Linked DNA regions of Schizosaccharomyces pombe. Changing the gene in region 1 together with any one later gene gives a genetic interaction. Each region holds a gene or a part of one and is shown on either strand. Other genes may lie near its edges.

The links.
Region 2: mutations in caa1 (region 1) and gid5 together harm fitness more than expected from each alone (negative genetic interaction), as found in Schizosaccharomyces pombe (one large-scale study listed by BioGRID).

What each region holds. Positions count from the first base shown.
Region 1 is NC_003424.3:1,229,823-1,233,921, forward strand, and holds caa1 (aspartate aminotransferase), read right to left. Parts: upstream 2,218-4,099; 5' UTR 2,196-2,217; coding exon 966-2,195; 3' UTR 818-965; downstream 1-817. Other genes in the region: protein-S isoprenylcysteine O-methyltransferase Mam4, read right to left, coding at 1-248; SPOM_SPAC10F6.14C (ABC1 kinase family protein), read right to left, coding at 2,494-4,099. UniProt on the Schizosaccharomyces pombe protein: Plays a key role in amino acid metabolism.
Region 2 is NC_003424.3:4,119,884-4,125,405, forward strand, and holds gid5 (protein Gid5), read left to right. Parts: upstream 1-2,089; 5' UTR 2,090-2,265; coding exon 2,266-4,635; 3' UTR 4,636-4,854; downstream 4,855-5,522. Other genes in the region: CAF assembly factor complex subunit B Pcf2, read left to right, coding at 16-147, 243-345, 387-629, 695-1,755; mga2 (IPT/TIG ankyrin repeat-containing transcription regulator), read left to right, coding at 5,329-5,522. UniProt on the Schizosaccharomyces pombe protein: Component of the GID E3 ligase complex recruiting N termini and catalyzing ubiquitination of proteins targeted for degradation.

The DNA.
Region 1 (4,099 bases):
ACTAACATCGCTAACCAGTAGGCTTTGCCATTATTCAATATGAAAGAATCCCATGATAACTGACTACCTTGAAAACGAGCAGTAATGTAAAACTCTAATAGATGAAAAAGACTCAGAAATGCAAAAAAACCTCCAATACTATATCCGTATATAATCCATACGAAAAATCCCAAACCAAAAACACAACCAAGAAAGGCGCTGGTTAAGCAAATAGATGCTACAGCTATTGACGTATGTAAATTCCCCATGATTGTATATTAAATTCAGGTATGTGAATTCAACTTTCTTTATTAAATTTATCGAGAAGAATTATTGAGTCAAAATGTCCTAACAAACTAACTCATACACATTTAGAGATGTTATAATTATTAATTATTGGAGGAAAGACACGAGAAGAAATAAAATTTATGCAAAGAGGGATATTCCTTGCTTTAGCCTGGTTTTCGAGTTATTAGGATATTTTCAAAATTTCCTGCTTAAAATTATAGTTGACACAATAGGGAAGTAAAACAAAGAAAATCATACTCATATTGTATTACTTAAGTTTTGACTTCTTTTCTTTGTATTGGCTCTAATAGTTGCTAAAAGTTGTATTATATTAATGTAGTAAACCTCGATATAACAAAGAATTCAAATACTCTGTCATTAATCAATTTGCAAGTTATGAATTATTAAAAAAGAACTCTTTCTCAGTTTTGTCTAAACATATCCGATTACAAACTGATATCAACTTGTTTTGCAAATAATGAGCCAAATACTGATGTCTAACTCACAAAGGAGAAGTCCCGGTGTATGAGTTGAACAGATAACTTCATATTATTCAAAAATTCAAAGAATAAATGCATATACTAGTTCTCTAAATTGCTAAAGAATTTGTTCCTAAATTCGTCAAATTTACAACAATCCAAAATTCTGTATTCATGAATCCAATACTTATCTATGTGACTTTGGTATTAATAATCAGTTTAAGGCAACTCGCGAACAGCATGGTTAAATGCCTGTGCAACATGCTCTACATTAGAATTGTTCAAACCAGCCATAGAAATACGACCATTTGCACTGAAATAAAGATGGTACCGCTCCTGGCAAAATTGGACTTGTGCAGGCGTTAAACCGGTAAAAGAAAACATTCCAATTTGTTGTGTAATATGATCCCAAGAACCGGGGGTTTTGAGTGCAACAAGAGAATCGCGAAGACGTTTCCTCATCTCAATGATTCTAGAAGACATAGTCTTTAAATCTTGTTCCCATTCAGCAAACAATTGAGGACTGTTAAGAATTTCGGCAGCAATACGTGCACCGTAAGCGGGAGGGTTAGAAATGGTGTTACGTTGAACAATACACAATTGAGATAAGACCTTGTTTTTAGTGGAAGCGTCCTTTGCAACGTAATGCATGCAACCAGTACGTTCACCATAAAGACCCATATTTTTAGCAAATGACTGACAAACGAAAAAGTCCTTGTTATATTTGACAAACTCGTTTAGAGCCCAAGAGTCACGATTCAGATCACCACTGGCAAAACCTTGATAAGCAATGTCAAAAACTACCAGATGCTTGCGAGAAAGCAGACTCTCGAATATAGAAAGCCATTGTTCCCTAGTGGGGTCAATACCAGTAGGATTGTGAGCACAAGCATGAAGTAAAAATATACTTCCTTCGGGAGCAGATTTAATGGTACTTAGCATGCCTTCGTAATCAAAAGATCTATTCTTGGCATCCCAATAAGGATATGTATCTACAGTGACTCCCAATTTTTCCCACAAAGTGCGATGGACAGGCCAAGTAGGGTTGGAGATGTATACATGGGCTCCAGTGTGCTTTACATAGAAAGTCTCAATGAAACTAGCAGCAAGAAAATTGGCACCAGTACCAGAGACTGACTGCATAGATGCAACACGGTCCTCGGACAATAAATGAGGATTGGGTCTGAAAAGAACTTCAGCCGCAGCCTTAGTGAAACGAGGCAATCCAGCAATTGGTAAATATTCATGGTTGAAGCTTGCCTGTTCTTCCACTATTTTAGATGCTTTTTTAACTGCAGGCAAAATCCAAGGCTTACCAGTATCGTCACGATAGGCGCCAACACTCATGTTAACCTTCTTGGGATCTTCATCCTGATGGTATTGAGCATTTAATTTAAAAATTGCATCTGCCTTAGCTTCCTCAATATTTGCAAACCCGTAGTCTGACATTGTGGTTAAATATGCGGTAGGTAGATTTCAACCTTACTGATCTACTATATATATATATTTATCACTCGGTTTAGTATCACTATATTATCAGTATACTTCATTGACATATAAGATACCGAGCTTGATGTACTGTAATAGTGAATAACGATACAAAGTTTGACTCGTATAGGGAGGAGCTTAACTTTTACAAGGAGGAGCTCTGAAGTGTCTTATCGAGAAAAGTAGGCAATATGTGAAGTTATATTATTATGGTCAAAGATTGGCTTTCCATAAAGAAAAGTAATCTTTACTATAAATATCATTTTTTATCATTAGTAAGTTCAGGCAACCGAAAATTTCCAGGGTAAAATAAATGTTGAAAGACCCAAAAAATAGGCGACAACAGCCGTTGATACCAAGTTGGACTAGGTTTGTCGGTAGTGTATTTATCAGCAACCTTGGCCATAACAGCTATACTATTCACTGGATACCCAAAATTTTGGTTATTTTTTTGAATAAGCATTAAGCAGCGACCTAGCATTAACAGCTCTTTCGGTAAACGAGTGCAGTCCTGTAAGAAGCCAATGAACTTTTTGCGTTCAGCAAGCTGCTGTTGGAAGGCCTCTTTCTTTGAAATAATTTTTTCACCAGTGTGAGGTTGCTCTTCATCCATTGGAATATTTAACATGCGGTTAGCAAAAAGCTCAGGTTGTCCAATCCCCCAAGCATCCATTACCTGAAGAATAGATTTTTTGTCTAATGAATAGGCTGCAGTGAAAAGCAAGGCAAATTCTTTTCTAAACTTTTCTGATTCAAATACATATAACCCATGATCCAAAATTACCGTTTGACACAAGCCTGCTTGATTTTTTCGAACAAGGATATTTCCAGGATGTGGATCACAATGAACTTGTTTCGAATGAAACATTTGGAAGGCAAGGAATCTGAAAAGGTTCGTTAAAATTTCCTTTTTGCTCATCCCAGCTTCAGAAAGAGCAGTTTGATCATAGAGGGGAATGCCATCAGCCCATTCAGTAACCATTACTCGCTTTCCAGAAATCTCTTTATAAACCTTTGGTATATATATCTTATCTCTTAAATAATCAGTTTCTTCTACCCCTTCACGAGCATGTTCCGAATTGTTAGCTTCAGTTGTAAAATCAACCTCAGAACGTAATCTTTCCGAGACATAATCAACCGTAAAGTAGAGAGGGATATGAAATATCCATTTATCATAAACATACATCATGTATTTGTACACGAGAAGATCCCACGACATTTGCTTAGCAACATCTGGTTTTTGAATTTTTACCGCGACCTTTTCACCGCTAGGTAAAACAGCACGATGTACCTGCGCAATACTGGCACTTGCAGCAGCACGTTTCTCAATGCTGGCAAATACTTCCTCTACTGGTCTTCCATATTGCTCTTTGAATATGTCTTGAAGTTCTTCCCATTCAACTTGAGGTGCATTGTCAAACATTCCCTGAAAGGCTTTCCCATACGCTTCAGGCAAATTATTTGATTGCATAGCAATGATTTGACCCATCTTGATGTATAAACCGCCATTTTTGTAAATCGTTTTAAACAGTCTCTGTGCTACTCTTTGGTGCAAAGCATCAATTTTGTCTGCCTTTTTTTCGCTGAAATTCAACTTATAGTCAGCCGCAATTATAGAAGCGGTGTATACTGTTCTAATACTACGGGTAAGTGCATGGGCATTATACACTCGATCCCAAGCGTAGACACCTATTCCAGCAGCACCAACAAATACGAACCTCTTCATCCATTTACGTTTGTTACCAGGAACTCCATGATTTTGCAATGCTTGACTGTTATAACGTACATCAGCATATGTCTTTGATCGCTTAATGAAGCGACTGGTAGTTTTCTGCAGTAGAGAAATTGTTCTCCACGAAGTCAAC
Region 2 (5,522 bases), 2.9 Mb from region 1:
ACGACGAAGAGGAACATGAGAGCGGAGGTTTTGCAGATACGATGGCATTATGATGCTAATGATGATCACACACCTATTTATTCAGTTGATTTTCAAAAGAACAGTCTTAATAAATTTGCTACATGTGGAGGAGACAGTAAAATCAGGGTAATGATTTGACATAAAACTATTTTTGCTTCAACTATTGTTTGTTGTAGTTTAAAAAAAAGAAAGAAAATTCCTTCAATTATACTAATATCCAGATATGGCAATTGATCACTTCGGAATCATCCACAAAAGTCGAATATTTGTCTACGTTAAGTCGACACACGCAAGCAGTGAACGTCGTTCGTTTCAATCCAGAAGGTATTCGCTAATAATTTTTTCCAATGCTCACATTAAAATAGGAAATATTCTTGCTACCGCCGGAGATGAAGGAACTATTATGTTATGGGTTCCAACTAACACTCCTATAACAACTTTGGCTGATGATGCGGAAGAGTTGGCTCTAGCTAAAGAATATTGGAAGGTCAAAATAGTTTGTAGGTCGATGGGTTCAGAAATATATGATTTATGCTGGTCGGTTGACAGTAATTTTCTTATTGCCGGCGCCATGGATAATAGTCTTCGGTTGTACGATGCTCACACAGGTATGAATTGGCAGTTGTTGTTATTGGCAATATTTTTTTTTAAATTAAAATTACTGACTAAGAAGGGCAACTGCTTACTCAAAAATTCGACCATTCACATTACGTTCAAGGGGTATGTTGGGATCCTTTGAATCAATACATCGTTTCGGAAAGTAGTGATCGTTCTATATGTTTATACGAAATTCAAGAGGAAAAAAAGAATCCGAAAAAATTCCAACTCGTTTTAAAATCGCGCATCTGTCGTATTGAGTATAATGTAACTAAATTCGAATTAATATCTGTTACGAAGCCCTTAAATAATGATGAATCATCGGGGATATCAGAACCTATCGAAACTTCTAATAATAATGAGTCTCCCGTATCTAAGCACGAAGCTCTCTCATCAACTGCAAACATAGTCAAAGATGGAAGCTTAGAGCGAACAGAGCCTCCAAATTCTCTCAATTCAAAAATCAGTTACTCTTTGTACTGCAATGAAACTCTTGTTTCTTTTTTTCGTCGTCCAGCATTCTCCCCTGACGGATTACTACTAGTTACGCCTGCTGGTCGGCTTCGACCGCACGGTCAACCAAACTTTGAAGTTCCCTATACTGCTTATATTTATACAAGAGGGAGTATAACCAAACAGCCAGTAGCTTGTCTTAATGGATTCAAAAAACCAGTTATTGCGGTTCGTTTTTCTCCAATTCATTATGAATTGAACTCATTCTCTAACTTCTCTTTTACTTCTGTCTCTTTTAATCTTCCTTATCGAATGGTATTTGCTGTGGCATGTCAAGATGCTGTTTATATTTATGATACGCAAACTTGCAAACCATTTTATCGTGCAGTAAATTTACATTACTCTAACCTTACAGACATAGCTTGGAATGATGATGGAAATGTTTTGTTAATGACTTCTATAGATGGTTTTTGTTCTGTAATTACCTTTGAACCTGGAGAATTGGGTGTCAAAAGTCAACACAAAATTTCTTTGCCGGAGAAACGATCAGCTTCACCCTCTAGTATTGATGATTCACAAGACAATACGGCTGGGGGACCAGCTACTACAACACTAATTCCCAGAAAAGTTGAATCTTCAAAAGTATCAAAGAAGCGTATTGCACCTACCCCCGTTTATCCATAATTTCATGTTTATGAAAAAAGTTCTACTTCGACAATACGCTTTGATTTTTGGAGTAAAAATCTCGTACTTCTTGTTTTGTACTAGTAACTTTAAAGAACCTTTTATTTTTTTAAAAAAAAAAAAGAAGGCAAAACTGTACATTCTACTTTGGATGTAATCATTCGGTAATTTGCTTAGATATAAGCACAATTAAATTCATTACAATTGTTAAGATAAATATATAAAAAGCAAATAATACTTCTAATCGTTTGTACTTTTTGTCTACTTAAGACTATAAAACTAATATGTAACTTTTCTGTAAGTATAAAATACGTATTGAGGAACCCTCTTACACATAACATCACCACCATTCTATAGGAATTGCATCTTATACATTACTCATTGCATAGATTAAATTGCTAATAATCTACTTTTATTAAAAAAAGATTTAATCAGCTCATTTTCACGCTAGTTTTCCAAATTTACTGAAGTCTCATATTTTTTGCAAATATCTTCAAGTTTTGTTCATGAATGGTCGCCATTAACGACTCTACGGATTCTTCGTTTTTTAAAGAAAATCCTAAAATATTTAAGGATGAGCATGAGTTGTTGAGGTATATCGTTCCTTTCAAAAATTGGGTAATTGGAAGACCCGACAGAAAAGAATATGCAATTCGCAATGGAGCTCCAAAGCTGTTGCTTAATTTATTTTCCTTAGAAAATTTATCCATGAATGAAAAATATCAAGTTTTTGTTGTTTTAAACTCCTTGATGAGTGAGGACCAGGACCCTTTCGTTCAATTTTTACGACACGAGGATCTTCTTTCCGTTATGCAAATGATTTCGAAAAGGGATAGTACACCATATGGAATGCTGAATATCACCCTTAAAGTTTTTAACACAATGCTGAGTTTTGACAAAGCAGCAGAATATGTCACTCAGTTACATTCGGACTCTATAATTAATCAAATGTTTGACTTGTATACTTTACCCTTGAAAGAACAACCTTCTCTTGATGTGTTGCGTATCTCAAATTTATCTTCTAAGATTTTGCATCGTCTTATCCTTTATAACTCTAAAGTTGGAGACTCTCCACGATTCTGTTCTGCTTTATTTCAAATCACTAACAGAGCTACCCAATTGCGCTTGTATTCCAGAAGAAGATTTTGGAATGATTGCTCTATCTTAATTACTAACTCCCTGGGTACTTTGAATGCTTATTTAAAACAGCATGTGAAGTCTTATAAACAAAGAGAGAAAACCCGGCTAGAATCAAATGGTCACGTTTCGCCTCGCGATATGGATTTAGATGAAATTGAAAATGTTTTTGAGGGAAACAAGGATAAGGTCGCCTTATTTAAATCAGAGATATTTGGGCCTAATGGTGATGAATATATTACTCAGTTATTCTGTCTCGTTAGACAGTTTGATCCTTGTATTCGCTTGCTCTCAATTTCTTGTTTAGTGACCCTATACAAGGCAGGCATCCTTTCTAAAAATCAAACTAAGGAGATTCAAATGATAGTAACTCCCATTCTCATCCGTTTATTTTTTGAATCTCGAGAAGCAAAACAAATCGCTCCTCGTATTCTCGCCATCATAATCAATGAAAACGAAATTATGCAAAAGACGGCTGTAAATGCAGGTTTTATTGATGCTGCCAAATATCTTCTAGAATACGCAACTAAAGAAGAAGAGAATGAAATTAATTTTTTATCCGATGAATTGCAATCCAGCGTTTGTTTTAATCTTCCTGCTACCAAAAAGGAGCAAAAAAACCTAATCTTAGAATCAGTTTTGCTAGCCGTTGCTGCATTAACAACTTCTAAAGATGAATACAGAAAACTAATAGTTGATGCTAAATATTTGCCTGTTATCATTAATGCTTTGAAAATCAATTCTAACAGCGTGAAAAAGGCTGCTTGTGAATGCTTATTAAGTCTCTCGAGAAGCGTTTACATTTTACGTACGGGCCTTGCCGATGCAGACGTGAGCGAACCATTAATAAAGTTGCTTTCTGACCCGGATACTAGAGTCAAATCGACTGCTACGTCTGCCATTTGTAACTTGGTACTTAAGTTTTCTCCTTTGAGAGAGAAATTCCTTACTACAAATTTCATTGATACTTTGATATCAAATATTAGTACGAAAGATAGCAGTCTAAGAAAGAAGACCGTGTGGGTTCTGCGGCATGTTGTATTTGGTGATGATGAGACGATCCAGCTTGAACCTTTAAAAAAGATCGGTGCTTCAAAGCTTGTGGAACTTTGCAATGACGAAGATCTGGGGGTCCAAGAGCAAATGTTGCAAGTGCTGCGAAATTTTACATGTCAGAAAGAAGAAAGCGTGGATTTTCTTTTGAAAATGGTTCCTATGGAGTTGTTAGCAAAAATTTTGCTTGAAAAATTAGAAAGTAAAAATCCTATCCTAATTGAACCCAGTATTTACATTTTGGTGCACATCGCTGCCAGCGATGGTGAGCTTAGGGATTCTATCCTAAGGCAAACCAAACTACTACTATTGGTGAAGGAAATTATGCTACAAGAAGCACAACGTCTCAAGCCCGAGCAAATGTCCACAAATGTGTCATCTCCGGAAAGTGACAGTGAAATGGATTTGCAAGAAGATGATTTTGATAGGGAAATGCGTCCTCCTTTCGATATTTATGAAGAGGACACTTATGAACCAAACTCCGAAATTCTGTTGGCCGGAATTTGGCTCTGTATTAACATTCTATGGCCCAAACAATGTACATCTCCAAGCCAGGAAGATAAGGAAAGAGCAAGTATCTTACAAAATCTCGGATTTGGAGAATGTTTGCAGATGCTACAAAATCACTCATCTCCTGATGTAAGGGAACGTGTCAAAGATGCCTTGATGTACATCAATGTAACCGATTAATTTCTATTACGCTTTTCCGTTGTCTTTGCCGACTTGATTGGAACAGTCTAACAAATCGGAGCCATTTTCGCATTTAGTATTTCTGTATGTATAAATGTGTGCACAACTCTTGCAGCTGAAGTTAACAGGTTGTTGGATTGAAGTACTTTGAGAATGATCGTATATAAAAAGATTTAATGATTTATCAAAACGAATAAAATAAGTATTATGAACATTCAACTTATATGTATGCGGGATAGTGTAAAAACCTATTTAACATTGTAAAAATTTTTTAAGGAAAGTTGTACTTTGACAAGAACAATTTCATTTACATGTATTCTACTAAATTTATCAGAATGTTGGGAATTTTTTTGTTGGTATATAATGCCGAAAGGAAATTAATCGAATATGAAGAAAGTGGCGGAACTAAAAAACAAAACCCACAAACTAATTATTTAAATAAATATAACATAATAACTTGTTAAAATAAGAGTAATACTAGAGAATGTGTGCTCAAGTGGAAAGCATGTAATACTTGCACAACGTGATGGAAGAGATTAGTGTAGTAGCGCAGCGACAGCTTCCAACAACCAACTAATCGAGGAGGAAAGCAAAAGTGAGAATTGAAAAGAAGTAGTACATTAAAGACCTTTAAATTCTTTGAAAGAATTGCCTTTATAAAGGTAGTCTATTGCATTTCAAAGTACTCTCAAGATGAATTTAGAATTTTCTTTTGGAAATTTGATCGCCAAAAATACCGAGAATTCGACTAAGGAAGAAGGAACTTGGGAAGTAAACAAGCTCATGAAATTTAGTTCAGAGGAGGGGAGGTCTTCCTCTGATGATTATATGTTTTCCTCTCCCGATTTTGAAAAAGCCGGAAACGGCGATGCAGAAATGCGTGAATT